Sus scrofa: one gene and its partners. The protein of the gene in region 3 interacts with the protein of the main gene of each other region in a pairwise test. Links are inferred from orthologs where the notes say so. Each region holds a gene or a part of one and is shown on either strand. Other genes may lie near its edges. The genes, in order: UBE2I, glutathione S-transferase omega-2 and TFAP2A.

Region 1 (5,431 bases), on a different chromosome or scaffold from region 3:
CACAGGCCCTGAGCCCCACCCTGCAGCTCTCTGGGGAAGGGTTGGCAGTGCCAGCGCCAGGAGAGGCGGAGCTGGGGAGCGAGGCCACAGGATCAGCCTCTGCAGTGGTCTGCGCGGACCCTGGCCCTGGGCAGAGGCAGCAGGCTGGGAGAAGCAGGGACTGCCAAGTCCAGCTCTGCCGTTTACCAAGCGAGGCTGGGATGGGGCTGCAGGCACCTGCCAGGCAAGGACACGTCCTGTCACCTTCTGGGAGTGAAGGGATAACAGCATCGGTCAGGTCACATGTCCAGGGTACCCAGGAAAAGGCCGCTAGCCCTGGTGAGCGCCAACCGCCCAGCCTCGGTGCCTGACAGCGTGGACCAGTGCCCACAGCACTGTGGCCACCTGCTGTCTACACGGGCGCTGCTGTCAGCCTGGGTGCCACGCCCCAGCTCTCCGTGTGGGCCTTCTCGGCCGCAGGGGCTCGGCCCAAATGCACACCCAGCGCCTCGTGTACAAAGAGCGGATGGGAGGCTGTAGAGACACCACGCGGCCCTGGCTCAAGCTATCTGTGCGCCCATAACGAACCTGAGCTCCACTAGGGTCCCTGAATCAGCTCCCCGCTAGAATCCCCTGGGGGGAGCCCCTCCCCCGGATTGGGACCTGGCCCCCTGGGTCAACCCCGGGTCAGGACCCTGGGGTGCTGGCTGCTTGGCGCGTCCCGAGGACAGTCGCAGCCCCAGCTTCCCTCCCTCCCCCGACCCACTCCAGGAACAGGCACCTGCCCGGCCTGTCCCGGAGGCCAGCCCCTCGGGTCCCAGGCCGCTGAGGCACCTGGGGAGTGTCGTCGGGAAACTCGCGCTGTCCCGTGGGCAGATGGGACAGTGGGGCTCAGAGCCTCCGGCCTGCCTAGGGCCCGTCCAGCCCAGCTCTGAGGAGAACCAGAGCCAAGCCCGGGGCTCCAGGTTTAACCACTGCTCGCCCCCAATGAGTCACAGGCCTCCTCCGTCAGCGTGGATGGTGGACGCAGGGAAGGCCTGGGCACGGAGGGGACATCAGAGCAGCTGGGTGGCCAAGAGTGGCCTGAATCCCTGCCCCATGGGAGCACGGGAGGCACCACACCCAGGCTGGACCAGCGTGTGGCAGGAGCGCCAAGGGGGGCAAGTCTGGGTCCCTGGCTGAGCTGGGCTGCGGGACGCCCCTTTTTCAGGGCCCAGGCCCAGGGGGTCATTCCCTGAGCTGGACCAGGGCTGTTAAGACCTCACCTCCGACACAAAGCGGCCAACACCCGAACGCCGCCCCCCGCCCCCGCCGGCCTAGAGCAGAGACTCCAGGCGGCCAATGCGAGGCTGCACCAGGTGGGGCCGGAGCGCTACTAACCAGTAGATCGTGTAGGCCTCTGCTTGAGCTGGATCTTGGATATTTGGTTCATTTAGAAGTTCCTGTATTCCTAACAAGATCTGCGTAAGAGACAAAACAAACAGCCCAGTGGGAGGCTAGCGCTTTGAACGGCAAACCTGCCTAGGACAGCGGCCTCGGTCCCGGAGACCAGAGGCGGGCGCGCGCTGTGTACCTGCTTAATCGTGATGGCCGGCCTCCAGTCCTTGTCCTCCTCCAGGATGGACAGGCACACCGTGCCCGAAGGGTACACGTTCGGGTGGAATAACGGCGGCTCGAACTTGCCTGGGGCACAGGGAAGGAAGCACAAGCGGTCAGGGGGGCGGGGGCACCTGGCTGGTCCCGGGGCCTTCTGTGGAGGACTCCTCGGGGAGGAAGCTGGCCCCGAGGCGGGAGGGGTGGGCCCGTGCCTCCCCGGGGGGCTCGGAGGGACCTGTCCTCCCGGGACGCGGCAGGCAGTCTTCGACTCGGGAGGATGGGAAGGGGCCGAGGCGAGCGTCCTGGGGGCCTCCAGGCAGAGGCTCAGAGGCCCTTCGAAGCGAGCGGTTGTTTTCAAGGCAGATCATCCTGCGTCGCGACAGAGGCGGTAAGGACCCCGTGTTCTCTCTCACGGACACTGACTCGGCTCAGGCTTCCTTGTTCCCATCTGGGGCACCTTCCCCTTGTCACTTTAGTGCAGCAGGTGTAGCACAGCTTGATGGACTGACAAAAACAAACTCACCTGCTCACACCAGCAGCTTCAAGAAAACTCCCCCCATCACACACCACCCTGCCTGTCCTGTCACCCCAGCTCGCAACCCCCCGAGGACTCCTGGCTCTCAGGGTCATGTGTGCAGTTCCCACACCCGTGCTGTGCGGGCCTTGTTGGGGGAAGCTGTGCCGAGGACTTGCCCACAGCGCCCGCCGCAGGGGCGCATCTGAGCCACAACAAAGCTGTGCACGTCCCTCGAGGCAAATCCTGATGTGTGCGCATTTTTTTTTTTTTTTTTAAGGGCCGCACCCATGGCGTATGGAGGTTCCCAGGCTAGGGGTTGAATCAGAGTTTTAGCTGCCAGCCTACACCACAGCCACACGGATCTGAACTGTGTCTGCGACCCACTCAACAGCTCACAGCAACGTCAGATCCTTAACCCACTAAGTAAGGCCAGGGATCAAACCGGTGTCCTCATGGATACTCATCAGATTTGTCTCTAGTGAGCCATGACGGGAATGCCAGTGTGTGCGCACTTCTACGGGAAGACACTGGCTTGCACGGTGTCTCTGCTGAACCTGCAGACACCACTGCTTTCCAACGGCTGTGCCAGTGTACAGCGCCAAGATGCTGCCAGCACCCGTGGTTCAGTCATGGCATTCGGCCACTCTTGCGGTTCTGCTTTGCGTTTTCTGGATCCTCTTTCACTCCCTGCGATGCGGTGACTGCTTCCTTGCTCAAACCTTGCATGCTTTTCTTGTCGACACTCCTTACACACGCGGGACGCAGGTCCGTTGTCAGTTATCTGCCTCCCAAACGCCTTCTCCTACACAGAGTTCATCTTTTTCTTTCACTTTTGGTGAAACCTCTGGTGCCTTTCCGTGAACACCAGTTCCCAACCCAAATATAACCTGAGACATCATTCTTGTCCCCACCCAGAGAAGGTGCTGGATGGGCAGCGGCACCGCCCCACCCCACCCCCAGCTCGGGAGGGGTGGGCGCGCCAGGAAGTCACCTCTCGACTCCCAACACTGCCCGTCGTTGCTTGGCCTGCCGACGCCCCGCGTGAGCGCCTCAGCATCTGGGGGACACTTCAGAGCCTCTCGCCTGTGCCGCAGATGGTCCGCTGCTGACCTGTCCATTCGGCACGACACCTGGGCTCCTCCATGAGCACCGGGTCCCAGGGTGGCCGCAGCAGACGAGCCAGAGACTTCCGGGGGAGAGTTCGGAACCGACGTGAGCCCTGAGCCGGGCCCTCCCACTCCGGCCGCAAATGGGGCCGGGAGCCAGGTGCAGCACCCTCCCCTCCTGGCTGTGTGCCGCCCGACAGGCGATGCCAGGGACAGACCGGAGAGAACTCACTGACGAGCGCGTGCTGCCCCCTCCACTCTTGCTGGCGACTCCCGGTCGAGGTGGTCTTGATTTCAGTTCGGTCAGCTCATCACTGTCCCCAAGGGGGTGACGGCGGGGGAGTGGGGGTGCTCCAGGTGCTTCCCCGGTTAAACGCCCAGCCGCGAACATGAGCAAGAGGTTCCCCCACTTGCTCCGAAGCTGTACTCTTTTGGCTGCGGCGGCAGTGGGGCACCTGCGGCTGCACCTGCAGCCATGTGAAGGTTCCAGGGCCAAGGACAAACCTGCGCCACAGCAGCGAGGCCAGGTCTTTAACCTGCTGGGCCAGCAGCTCAGCCCTGATGCTGTACTTCCCACCGGGCACTGAGATGCCACGCAAGAGCCGTTCTCCTCGTCAGGGCCAGCCCGCCCTCCCCGTGCCCGCAGCCCCACCTGCCACCTGCAGGCCCCGGACGCAGATGGCCTTTCTGGGCTCTGCTGCGCAGACTGTGTCTCAGTCGCTGTGTCCCCAGAGCAGGGCCGGCCTGGGTCCCCTCACTGGGCGGGCAGCAGCCTGAGCCCCAGCTCCGCCCCCTCATCTCCAGAGCCCTGGCTCTTCTGGGCACTTCCTGCTTCTCAGTCTGCCTGACGGTTCCCAAGGGCTGCTGGCACGGCGACCAGGGTCAGGCTGGACCTGCAGAAGAGCCCCAGAGAACGGGCGTGTGCACAGTGGCCCGACCCACCAGGCACCCAGGCAGCCCCTGGCCCTCGCAGACGCCTCGTCTTCAGCACAGCAGTCTCGAGAGTCTCTTGCTGGATGTCATCCACGCTGTTTGACGCTGCTTTAAATGGTGGCGTTTAGGAGCTTGCATCTGCTGCAGTTACATGAATAGATTTTTGCAAATTCGTCTTTTATTCAGCACCCCTAGGACAGACTCGGAGGAAGATGGTTTGCAGTCCCGTCTTCCTTCCACTTGTGCTGCGGGGATTTCGTTGTCTTGCCCGGCTGTGTGGGCCTGCCATTCCCCACAATGTGGAGCGGGAGTGATGAGAGCAGCTACCATGTGTATCCCTTCTTCCTTTTGGTCTCTTTAGGGCCGTGCCTGTGGCACATGGAGGGTCCCAGGCTAGGGGTCGACTCAGAGCTGCAGCTGCTGGGCCTCCACCCCAGCCAGAGCCGCAGCCATGCCAGTTCCAAGCCGCATCAGCAACTCACACCGCAGCTCACCACAAGCCAGATCCTTCACCCAATGGGTGGGGCTGTACCGGCATCCCTGTGGCAACTGCTGGGCTCTTAATCTAATGAGCCACAATGGGAAGTCCACGTTTCATCTCTTAAACAGAGACGTTCTGTAAGCTAAGACGTGCACGTGGCAAAAAGCCCTGAACAGCAAAGAACCCCCTGAAATGAAGTCGGTCCCCACTCCAAGGCGGTGAGTCTCAGAAAGTCTGCTTGTGCCGTTAAAAGACAGCACACTTCTCTCCAGCCAGCCGAGTCAAGGCTCTCACAGCCTGCCAGGCACCCTCCACACGCCAGGGCAGGTACCAGGGCACTCCATTCACCAGCCAGTGCGGATCTCCAGCGACAGAACCCTCCCGAGTTTCGCTAAGTAAACGGGTTACTGCGTCCACCACAGCAGAACCGCAGGCGCAGCCTCGGCCTCTCTTCCCGCCGCCCGCTCTGCCGTCTGCACAGGCAGCTTGGGCCTGAAACCCCAACCAGCGAGGAAGTCCCCTTGGGGGGCGGCTCTGGTCCGCGGTCCTTCAGCGCGCACGCCGGCCCAGGGCGGGAGCTCATCCGCCGGCGGGAAGGGCCCAGGAGGCCCCCGGGGTGGGAGCTGGGCCTGTTCTGAGTTCCCCGGGCGCCCATGGAGCTGCGGGGAGCAGGGCACATACCTGAGGCCCCACAGGCCCAAGCTCTCTGAGGACCTCGGTCCCAGAGGAATGCGGCCGACGCTGAGGGATCTGGGAGGACTCGGCTCTACTCACATTTCGGCGGTGAGGACGGGTAGTCGTCTTTGAACAGCATCCGCA
Region 2 (5,431 bases), on a different chromosome or scaffold from region 3:
TTTGCCAGATTTTTAAGAATAATTCCAGAGCAGGTTAGTGGGGGGCCAATACCCACAAGTTAAAGTCATATGACTAGCGGCTGAACTTATCAAAGTCTGTGAAAACAGAAGGTGTCCGGGTGACCAGGGTGGGGACCTGAATCACTTCTCCCACTGCATCTGTCCAGGAGGGGGCTCCGTTTAGTACCTCTTCCAGGTTGCAGAACTCCTGACGCAGGGCTAGCTTCAGATCAGCGCATTCTCTCCCACATCTCAAGGCTACCAGACACTCCTTTGTCAAATGTGGGACCTGATCAGAGGACACAGGTTCTTAGTGGAGAATTCTTAGGGCACCCAGTGCTCCCTAAAAATGCAGCTGGAGCTTGTCTGGCTCCCACACCCAGGCTCCCCAGCTCCTTCTGAGGGCCATCTCTGTGGCTTCACAGCACCCTGGTAAACAAGGTGCTATAAAAGAGGACTCTCTGGTGCTCCTTATTTGGTCAGCTACTTCCATGATGTACAGTCTTAGGTGGGGCACTTACCTTCCCTAAGCCTCAGTGTTCTCATCTGAGAAATGGATACAATAATAGTACCCACCTTAAAGGGCAGGGGCGAGAATTCAACGAGGTAACCTTTATAAAGCAGTTAGAATAGTGCTTGGCACATTCTAAGTGCTCAAGAGATTTCAGCTATAAATCTGATTATTTTTGTTTCTTTTCAAAGAGAATTATCTTAGAATTTCTCCATCATTTTCTCTCCCATTATCAACAATATCCCCCTTTCTCTCGTCTTCACATTTTCCTGGACAGTTGGCACTCTCATTCCCCATTAAAGGACAATTCCCTTCTGTACACATTACCTTTTACAGCTACCCCAATATTTTTTTTTACCTGAAAGCTTAGAAAGAGTCCCTTTAAAGTATCACCAGTTTTCAACCCTTTCAGTATTCCTGTCTCAAGTTACAGTCATAACCATAACTCTTGAGACTACTAGTTCAAATGGTAAAGGCTAAGCCTTCAAACTTTAACGTCAGAGGCCACTGCTCTACTATAATTCCATACCAGCTATCCTCCTAAAGGCACATACATATATCAAAGCAAATGAATTTCATCAATGATTTGACTTTTTAAACAGATCAAAGCTTGGGCAAGACATATAAAGTAAAATTGAGTGCAAGTGGCTTTCTAAAAAAAAAAAAAATGGGTATACCTTATAGAATAGCTCCAATAGCATCTTTTGGCGAGCTCGCTCATAAGGGTCATATGGATATAGCTTCCTTCCAGGATAAGCATCATCCAGGTACTCGCAAGCAATGACAGATTCGTAGATCAGTTGACATTTGCTGTTCTCCAGGACAGGAATTTGGCCAAAAGGGTGCTTTGTAAAGTACCATTCAGGCTTGTTTCTCAGGTTAATGTTGACAACTTCATGTCTTACAAAGCAAATGGGAAACAAGACAGAAAAACAAATGAGAGGCTTAGGCAGGTAGATGCTCATCTTGAACGCAAAAGCCATCAATCTATAAAATTATAATTTGCAATAAGTTTTTTTTTTAAGTTAGGTTTGTACAAAGAAAAATACATAATGAGGTCATTGTCTTCCTACATCCAGGAAGCTACATTGAATGTTTTCTATGCCTTACCCCATTGGCTCCTCCGGATTCCCTTTGAGGTAAACTGGGGGATCATCATGAAGAGCACACGAGGTACAGAAAACACTTAACACATCCCTTCTGAGAACTGAGGCTCCTTGAGGTTGACTCTCCTGCCCGATATCACCCACTAAAAAGTAGCAGAGCCAAGATAGAGCCCAAGCAGTCTGACTCAGAGTCCCCAAGCTTCACCAGGGTTTGAAAATTTTTATCTAATGTCTGCAAACAAGTTTTGGTTGCTGTAACTTGTGGGGGGGAGTCTACTGCCATCCTATGAGTAGAGGCCAGGGATGCTGCTAGACATCCAACAGAGCACAGGACAGTCCTTCCCCATCACCAAATACACACAGAGATAAAAATTATCTGGCCCCAAATGTCAAAAGTGCCAAGAGTGAGAAACCCTGCCCTAAACAGGTATTTACTCATGCAGCTCAATAACAACAACAACAACAACAAAATGCAATCAAAAAGTGGGCAGAAGATCTAAATAGACATTTCTTCAAAGAAGACATACAGAAGGCAAACAGGCACATGAAAATAGGCACAAGAAACAGGCATTTCTCTAATAATCAGCACTGCTAATTATTAGAGAAATGTAAATCAAAACTACAATGAGGTACTACCTCACACTGGTCAGAATAACCATCATTAAAAAGTCTACAAATAGCAAATGCTGGAAAGGATGTGAAGAAACGGGAACCCTCCTACACTGTTGGTGGGAATGTAAATTGATGGAGCCACTATGGAAAACATATGGAGGGTTCTCAAAAAGCTAAAAATAGGGTTGCCATGGGATCCAGGAATCCCACTCCTGAGCGTATATCCAAAGAAAACTTTAATTTGAAAAGATATATGCATCTCAATGTTCGCAGCAGCACTATTCATAATAGCCAAAACTTGGAAACAACCTAAATATCCATCAACAAATGAATGGATAAAGAAGCTGTGGTATATATGCAATGCAATACTACTCAGCCATAAAAAAGAATGAAATAATGCCATACACAGCAATATGGATGAACCTAGAGATCATCACACTAAGGGAAGTAAGTCAGAAAGAGAAAGACAAATACCATATGGTATCACTTATATAGAGAATCTAAAATATAACGCAAATGAACTTATTTATGAAACAAACAGACTCACAGACACAGAAAATAAATTTATGGTTACCAAAGGGGAAAGGCGGTGGGGGGAGGGGATAAATCGGGAGTTTGGGATTAGTAAATACACGCTACTATAAAATAGATAAACAATAAAAACAGATAAACAACAAGGTCCTACTGTATAGCACAGGGAACTATATTCAATATCTGATAACAAACCATAATGGAAAAGAATATGAAAAAGAATACGAATATGTGCATATATCTGAGTCATTTTGCTATATACATCAGAAACTAACACAATATTTAAAATCAATCATACCTCAATAAAATTTTTAAGAAGAAGTATTTGTATCAGTTCCTAAGCTGCTCCTTAGTCACTATAGTAAAACATTGGTCTAGGCGTTCTGGCTGTGGTGCAGTGGGTTAAGAATCCAACTGTGGTGGCTCAGGTTGCTGTGACGGGGGACAGGCTGAATTCTTGCCCTGGCACAGTGGCTTAAAGGATCCGGTGTTGCCACAGCTATGGCATAGGTCACAGTTACTGCTCAGATTCAATCCCTGGCTTAGGAACTTCCATGTGGTGTGAGTGTGGCCATTTAAAAAAATATATATATATTGATCTTTTTTTTTTTTTTTTTAAAAAAAAAAGATAATGTTAGGCCAACTAGAATTGAGCAGAAGGGAAGAATCTGGATATATAAGCCATATACACTTAACAAAACAGAATTACATAATTTCATTTAAAAGATCTCTGTATTAGTCACTGCATATCTTTACTTGAATCAGATACTCTTAAGTCATCCCCTAGGGACGGACTTTCCAAGCCCAGAGTCAAAAGGCTGGAGAAACACTTTCTCAGCACTTTAGCTTGGAGCCCATTCCATCCAGCCATTCCCAATCCCAGCAAGATCTCTATACCTTCTAAATCCAAATCTCCTTTGCAGGAGCTAGTCTTGCAAGATCCTTCTGGAGAGGTGTGTATCCATTTCTCAGATATATGGGTCCCTTCCAGACACCTCTTGATAATATCCCTATATTTCACAGTTTGGAACTATTTGTTTATTTATTCAAAAAGTAGTTTTAAGCACCTACTATGTGCTGGGTTCTCTTCCACACCATGAATAAAAGATAAAGTTCCTACCCTCAAGAACTTACATTTGTGTGTGTATGTGTGTCTGGGGCAGGGGTGGGGCAGTGGAAGTGTGGCTGGGAGGTGTGGAGAAAAGACTACAAGCAAATAAGAAAATGTTGGCTGCCACAAGCACAAAGAAAAAAGAGAAGAGAATTGACCTGAAGATGTCTAGGGTAGGGTGGGGGCTATGGTTCATGGAACAGTCAGCAGAGGCCTCTGTAGTCTCTGGAGTGCCCTTCACAAGCCTTAGGGAAGAAACACGCTCACCAGAGTCTTCATTCTGTTTGCTCTCAATTGTCCTAAATGTTTCCTGCACAGACCTGACTACATTTCAGCAAGGCTGCTCAAGAACCTGCCCTCTGCTAACCGTTTACTGACTTGGCTTCAGAAGAAAGAGGCAGGGAGCCTCTGCAATTTGAGCAAGGCACCCCAGATGTTAGACATCCCCAGGCGTGTCTGGGGCGCAGGCCTCCCCCTTCTCACCTGATGCCTTTGGCCCTAAGGACCAGACGGGTCCTGTGCGCATAGGGGCAGAACCTCATGCTGTAGATGCGGATCAGGCCCTCTGGGACTGGCCCAGGGGGGAGGCTCCCTGCGGGCAGAGGAGGTACAAGGAGGAGGATTAGCCCATGGGGTCAGAGGCTCACTTCCCTCCCCAGGACCCTAAGAGGGCCACCTCCTAATCCCAGAGAGGACTTTTTTTTTTCTTTTTTTCTTTTCTTTCATGTGGCTTTTTTGCAGAGGACCCATTCAAGTCCCCACTCGCCATGCTAGTCTGGGATCCAACATCCAGCCACATGTGCCCCCAGCCCGTGGACAGCTGTCAAGAGGACTCACCTTTCCCCAAGGTCCTGGTGGCATCGTCAGTCACGTTCTCCCGATGTTTGCGCAGTGGCCAGCGCTCACAGCCGCGGCCATGTGGCTTGCTGCTGCTACCGCAGCCTCCAAGGACAACGGAACTCTGGTGCCCTCGCCCTGCTCTTGCCCCAAATTCAACCTTGGAGCAACAGGGCCCTAGCGGGGCGGAGGAGAAGTGATCCAGGACGGCAGCTAGGATAGTTCAACCTGGAGAAACAGAGCCCCAGATTCAGAAGCTGGAGTACTAGGAGTAGGGGGGGGAATGGGTGGATGAAACCTGAAAAGTACCCCTTGCTTTGAACTCAGGGGGCACAACATCCGGTTCAATCTCCTCTACATCAAGAATCTGTGAAGTATGGGCATTGAATCTCCACTTATTTCAAGGGAGTTTAATAAAAATTGACTAGGGTGATGCTAACGTCTTCTTTCCCATTCTAAGCCTTCCCTTATGCATATCTAAGACAGCTAGCCATACCCTGTGTATAAGGAGTGCTTTTTAAAAAATAAGGCCATGATCTAGCAGATAAGAAGAAAAACTTACAGATGTTAAGATCTTGCACGACCCTAAAAGGGTCTCATTAAATTTTGTGCCCTCCCTGCCTCACCCTAGTTCTGATCCTATTTATGCAATTTTACCCAAGCTACAAAAAATTGGTAATGAACAGAAACAAGATCCCTAGAGGCAAAGATAAATTTGTGAGC
Region 3 (5,431 bases):
ACAGAGACGTGAACACTGATTCCCTTATATAACTGTGAATCGTGTTGCCAGAGAAAGTTCAAGTTGGTCGCTTTACCTTGAAGAGGGAAAACTTCTGTAACTGAAGACAAGACATGGAACTTCCTGTATCTGCGTTCAAGTTTATTCACAATACTGATAAAAATGTCATGATCCTTTTTGCCTTTGCTTTCTTTTTCTTTTCTCTGTTTCTTTTTTTTTTTTTTTTTTTTTTAAGTATGGCTACAATCTGAACGGTATGTAAAGGAAGGTGGTGATTCCATCCCATGAAGCGCATATCATTTTTTTTTTTAATTTTTACGTTCTTTTTTCTAAAAAAAAAAAAAAAAAAGTTTGAATTTTGTGGTTGTCATTGCTGTTGATTTGCGGTGTTAAAAAAAAAAAAAAAAAAAAAAGGGTTCACACACTCGGACAGAACTTTTCTCTGCCCGCTTCACGGCCTGTTCTGTGCTCTGAGGCTCCACGCAAGGGCAGAGGCGAGGTGGTGCGGATCGGGGAAGTCGAGGCAGGGGCCTGGGCGGCAGGGTCGCCCCTCTCGCCGGGGAGCGCTGTCCCCAGGACCCCGAGCCTCCGAACCGAAGGCGTGGCGGCAGCGGCGGCGGCAGCAGCAGCAGCAGTAGCAGCAGTGGGGGGGTTGCTGATCCCGGAGCTCACCTGCCGGCGGCGGTCGATGGGGGGGGGGGCACCGGTGGGGGAGATGGCGATGGAGATGGGGGGGGCGGCGGCGGGGGGGGGGGACGGCGAGGCGCGGGTCCGGGGGCAGGGCTGGAGGAGAGCTTCACTTTCTGTGCTTCTCCTCTTTGTCACTGCTTTTGGCGCTGTTGTCCGTGTGGCTGTTGGGGTTGTTGCTGAGGTACATTTTGTCCATGGCCTTCAGGGCCTCGGTGAGATAGTTCTGCAGGGCCGTGACCGCGGCGCACACCGCCGGGCTGCCGAAGCCGTGGGAGATGAGGTTGAAGTGGGTCAAGCAGCTCTGGATGCCGGGCTCCAGGATGGGGTTGGGCCGCGAGTTCCCCAGGGGAGATCGGTCCTGAGCCAGCAGGTCGGTGAACTCTTTGCATATCTGTCTGCAGCACAAGTGGAGCAGAGAGAGAAATGAGGCTCCCCTGAGGGCAGCGCCAGCAGCAGAGAGAAAACCTTTCTCCCTGCATCTCCCTGCAGGTACCTCTGCCTGCATCAAGGGGACACCTGACCTGACACCGGCGGGCAGGCAGGGGAGGGGGGGAGAAAAGGGGGGGGAGTTTAAACCCTTCCACAAACGCCCCCCCCTTCCTGTGTGTCTCCTTCTCCCCTCTCAGCTACACCACACTTCTACCCCCCTGTTTTCTCTCTCACACCAAACATCCTGGATGCAGGAAAACATTTCGCATGTTATGGGAGAGAAGCAAAGGTGAGTGACAGGGACAAGGAGTCAGGAACACAAGCATCCCTTCCATACCAAGGGCAGGTGCTCATCGGAGGTCCTGCTCCAAATACTACAGAGACCCCCTCCCCTGATCTTCTAGAGAGATCTCTCAGCAGCAGTCTGGGGGATGGCCTCTCCCTCTCCAGTCATTCCCCCTCAAATCAGGGCAGATGGGTGGACAAGAAAGGCCAAACCTGTCTTGGGAGAATTTTGCCTTTAAAAATAAAAGGCACCCAAAAAAGCCCCTGTTACATGGGGATAATTCAGAGTAGTTTAGGGAAGAAGAAACAGACAGACATTTCAATCTGCCATTTCACCTCTTGTCCAACCCCCCCCTCCCCAAGAAAAGAAAAAAATGTCTAGGGATACGGTGACTGTGGGTGTCCTTAGAAGCTAAGAGAAGAGAAGTTGGAATACAGGTGATGGGGCCTGCACAGCGGAAGCTCTGAATCTGGGAAGCCAGGACTAGCTGGGGCCTTCCTGAGGCAGCAGAGGCCCTGGGGTGGGGCTGGGGGTGGGGAGATGCTGGGTAGGGGGGGGAGGATGGGTGGGAGCACAGGCAGGCTGCCTCCTCCAAGGCCAGCTGATGTCCCGGGGCCAGAAAAGACCCCACCCCCGAGGCCTCAGCCTCTGCCCCCTGGTTCCATGCCCTCCTGTGACGTGGACTTTGATAATTAAGGGCTTCCAAACAAGACTTTGAATTTCCAGAAAACATATCAAAACAGTCATTTTCTTTTCACACACCACCTGGAGAAGCCTATTCAGCCCAGTCACCCGGTGGGAATAGAACTTGGGCCATTTTGAAACCTATCTGACATCTCGCCTGTAGGCTAGAACTTGTGGGGAACGGGTGGGTGTGGGTGTGTATACAGGACTTTTGAGGAAGGCCAGAAAGGAAGGCAAGACATGCGAGAAAGGATTAGGATGGAAACTAGGACAGCTTCCGGCCTGAACATTTTGCAAGCCACTGCTTATATTAATCCTTGTTCTTGGAGGACGTATTGATAAGAAACAAACACTGATACAGACAAGCCTGTCACTCCTTTAAGAATTCTATTCTGGTCTTTCTGAAATAACATGGTCACAAATCCACCCTCAGTTTCCATCAAATCCACACTCTATCCCACACATTAGTATTATGATTTTTTTAATGAGAAGGTGGGCAGAAGAGAGAGGGAAGGAGGAAACACACACTCACAATCTTCCTTGTCTCTCCCCTCGGAGACCCATTACGGTTTGTAAGATTGTGTCGTCACTTTCATATTGCCACCAACCAAGCTGATTTACACAAAAGGAAGAGAGGCCCAAAGGGAGAGCAGAAACGATTCTGAGTTTTGTTTTCTCTTGACAGTGAGACACACAGACCCCGAAGAGGTAAATGTCTTACTTTGTAGCCAGGAGCATGTTTTTTCTTGTCACTTGCTCATTGGGATCGGAATGTTGTCGGTTGAGAAACTCAGCTACTGCTTTGGCAGGAAATTCGGTTTCGCACACGTACCCAAAGTCCCTGGCGAGGTGGACGGCTTCTCCTGGCAAGAGGTGAGAGAGAGGAGGGAGGGCGGGAGGCTGAGCCGAGTTGAGATCCAAACTTCCTCCCAACTCTCTTATTTTCTTAACCCAGATGTTGTAGGAAACCCAAACGACTTGTTTTCTCACTTCAGGTATTTTCTTTCCTTCTCTGTACGATCTGGTGGATGCATTTCTTAGGGGTGCAGGGGGGTGGGGGGTGGGGGGAGATGGCCACGGATCCCAGATGGCCAAAATGATTTGAAAACGTAAATCCCACCCGTTCCCCTCCAGGCTCATCCGCCACCCCAATGACATTTTTCCCACCCTCTCTTTTAAAAGGTTTCTGGTATTCCAAACCTCACACCGATCAACACATTCATAAATGATATTCATAATTACTCCTTGAGCTTTTCTGCAAGGGAACAGCTAAGGGTTTACATTTTAACTTTATCGCATATAATTATCTGTTCATCCAAACCGATTAACCAAGAGGATTTGAGGGTCACTCCACTGAGTCTGTCTGTGTTGTTGATTTTCGAATCTTTGGTTTTAATTTCCTGAACCAGTTGGTTTTTACTGCAGGGCTTCCTGCCATTAGCTCCAGCTCCGGAAGAACGCATGCGCCAATTAGAGCATCAAAGGCCTCTCCGCTGAGCTTGTTTCCATAAAATGGAGCGGATCACAAACAATAACAGTTCTCCAGAAACTGCCTCCCTGCTCCAGGACTCAACCCCCAAACCCAAACGCACTTTCAAACGACACCCAAAGCCACTACTGCCAGATTCTCTGCATGTAATTCTTCTGGGGTCTGAAGGGTATAGGTTTTGAAGGTACCGGTATGAGTTTTAACACTGGGCTACGGTCGATGAGTTTCCAGGCCTGAACAGTTGCTTATTACTTCACGATTCTATTAGTAGCATCTTTGACACCCTGAACAAATGGTTCATGGGATTTCTCCTCAACGGTAAGTTTTTAAACATTTAAAAACTGATTCTCAAAGCTAGAACTTGAATTCAATTAGCCTACATCTCCTCAGATACTGGATGTAAAGAAGCCAAGGTGTCTTAAATATAAATGGTAGTTTTGAAATCTGCTCCACAATGTAAGTGCCTTTTTTTTCCCCCTCTTGGCATTAGACATTTCCAAGAGAACACAGAGGAAAATGCAAGAGAAGTATATACTCATGTCAACACACCCAAACTTAAGCCAGTTTAGTATCTGACAAACTTACCAGGGATCTGGGAGGAAGGAGGACTGTGATGGATTGTGACTGGACTCTGGTGTGTCTAGACCAGGGCGTTAGCTTTGTTTTGAGGGGTTTAGAAGGGGTGTGTGTGTGTGTGTGTGTGTGTGTGTGTGTGTGTGTGAAAGCTGACTTGAGAAACTTTCTGCACTGCTTCTATTTCTTTTTTCTTTTCCTATCCAAATAACTCACTCAGAGTCTACAATTGCTCACTTTTCTTCCTCTCCAGGAGAGAGGCACAATTAAGTAAGAGATAAGGGGGCATATGTTTGGAAAGCAAAAAACTAAAAGGGCATAGAACCCTGAGCTTTCAGGACGGTCTTAAATCAGGATGCAGGTCAAAGATTCCCAAATTAATTCAGGAAGTAATGGTCACGCATTTCTCAAAGGCAGATGTCAGAATAGCTTAAGTGATTTACTGCTGAGCTCGATAAAGGAGACAGGAACTTGAAGACTACGCAGTTCTTAAATTTTCACATTGTTTGGGTCAGAATCGGGCTAGGGAGGTGTAATTATGTGGCAGAAGGGAAGAGGAAAGGTGGACAGGAATAAATGCAAAGAGTTTTTTTGCCAGGCAAGAATCCTGTTCACTTCCAGCGATATTTTTCTGGGGGGAAAAAAAAAATGAAACTGCCCAGTTGATACAAAACACAACCAAACATCTGGTCACTAAGTAGCATCCATTTCCCCAGAAGAAACATCCCTCCTTGTTAGCAAGTGGACTCGCTTACCCTCCACTAGTGATGTGAGCAGGGTGACGTTGGCAGCTTTACGTCTCCCTGCTGGCAGATTTAATCCTATTTTGTCCAGTTTTTCTCTTAAAGATCTTCCTCCATTTTTAGACTTCGCCCTGTTTCACAAATATATGCGAGAAAGGGATTTAGAACACAGTTGGTTGCTCTGTATCACACTGTAGTCATCTCGACACCTTCCTAAAATGCGCTTTTAAAAATTAAGCATCCTGGCCCCAAGATATGTAAGGGAGGGACACCTAGGAATGAGTGGTACAGAAAGATCATAGGAGATAAACGCTTGTTAAACTGTAAAGCAGCTCCTGTGTTCAGTTACTACTGCAACTACTGTGGCAAGTTGGAAGGCTTGACTTTCCAACTCTCTAAAGAAGAACCACAGACAAACACAGCTCTCATCTCTAGGGCATGAGGCATTTTTGAGTTCAACAGACTACTGTACATTTTCCCTGTTGTGACAATCACACAGATCCCAATGGGGTCTTTAAATGGTCTTTGCAAGATCTG

What was found.
Region 1: the proteins of TFAP2A (region 3) and UBE2I interact in binary tests that used the Homo sapiens proteins (3 or more experiments, as listed by UniProt). The link is inferred for Sus scrofa from reciprocal best matches to the Homo sapiens genes TFAP2A and UBE2I.
Region 2: the proteins of TFAP2A (region 3) and glutathione S-transferase omega-2 interact in binary tests that used the Homo sapiens proteins (3 or more experiments, as listed by UniProt). The two-hybrid records come from large-scale screens. The link is inferred for Sus scrofa from reciprocal best matches to the Homo sapiens genes TFAP2A and GSTO2.

The regions. Positions count from the first base shown.
Region 1 is NC_010445.4:40,557,610-40,563,040, forward strand, and holds part of UBE2I (SUMO-conjugating enzyme UBC9), read right to left. Parts: coding exon 5,387-5,431; intron 1,663-5,386; coding exon 1,553-1,662; intron 1,440-1,552; coding exon 1,360-1,439; intron 1-1,359. UniProt on the Homo sapiens protein: Accepts the ubiquitin-like proteins SUMO1, SUMO2, SUMO3, SUMO4 and SUMO1P1/SUMO5 from the UBLE1A-UBLE1B E1 complex and catalyzes their covalent attachment to other proteins with the help of an E3 ligase such as RANBP2, CBX4 and ZNF451.
Region 2 is NC_010456.5:115,223,615-115,229,045, reverse strand, and holds part of glutathione S-transferase omega-2, read right to left. Parts: intron 4,937-5,431; 5' UTR 4,709-4,936; intron 4,464-4,708; 5' UTR 4,414-4,463; coding exon 4,355-4,413; intron 1,412-4,354; coding exon 1,189-1,411; intron 290-1,188; coding exon 188-289; intron 1-187. UniProt on the Homo sapiens protein: Exhibits glutathione-dependent thiol transferase activity. Has high dehydroascorbate reductase activity and may contribute to the recycling of ascorbic acid. Participates in the biotransformation of inorganic arsenic and reduces monomethylarsonic acid (MMA).
Region 3 is NC_010449.5:7,222,374-7,227,804, forward strand, and holds part of TFAP2A (transcription factor AP-2-alpha), read right to left. Parts: intron 5,026-5,431; coding exon 4,907-5,025; intron 2,953-4,906; coding exon 2,811-2,952; intron 1,086-2,810; coding exon 797-1,085; 3' UTR 1-796.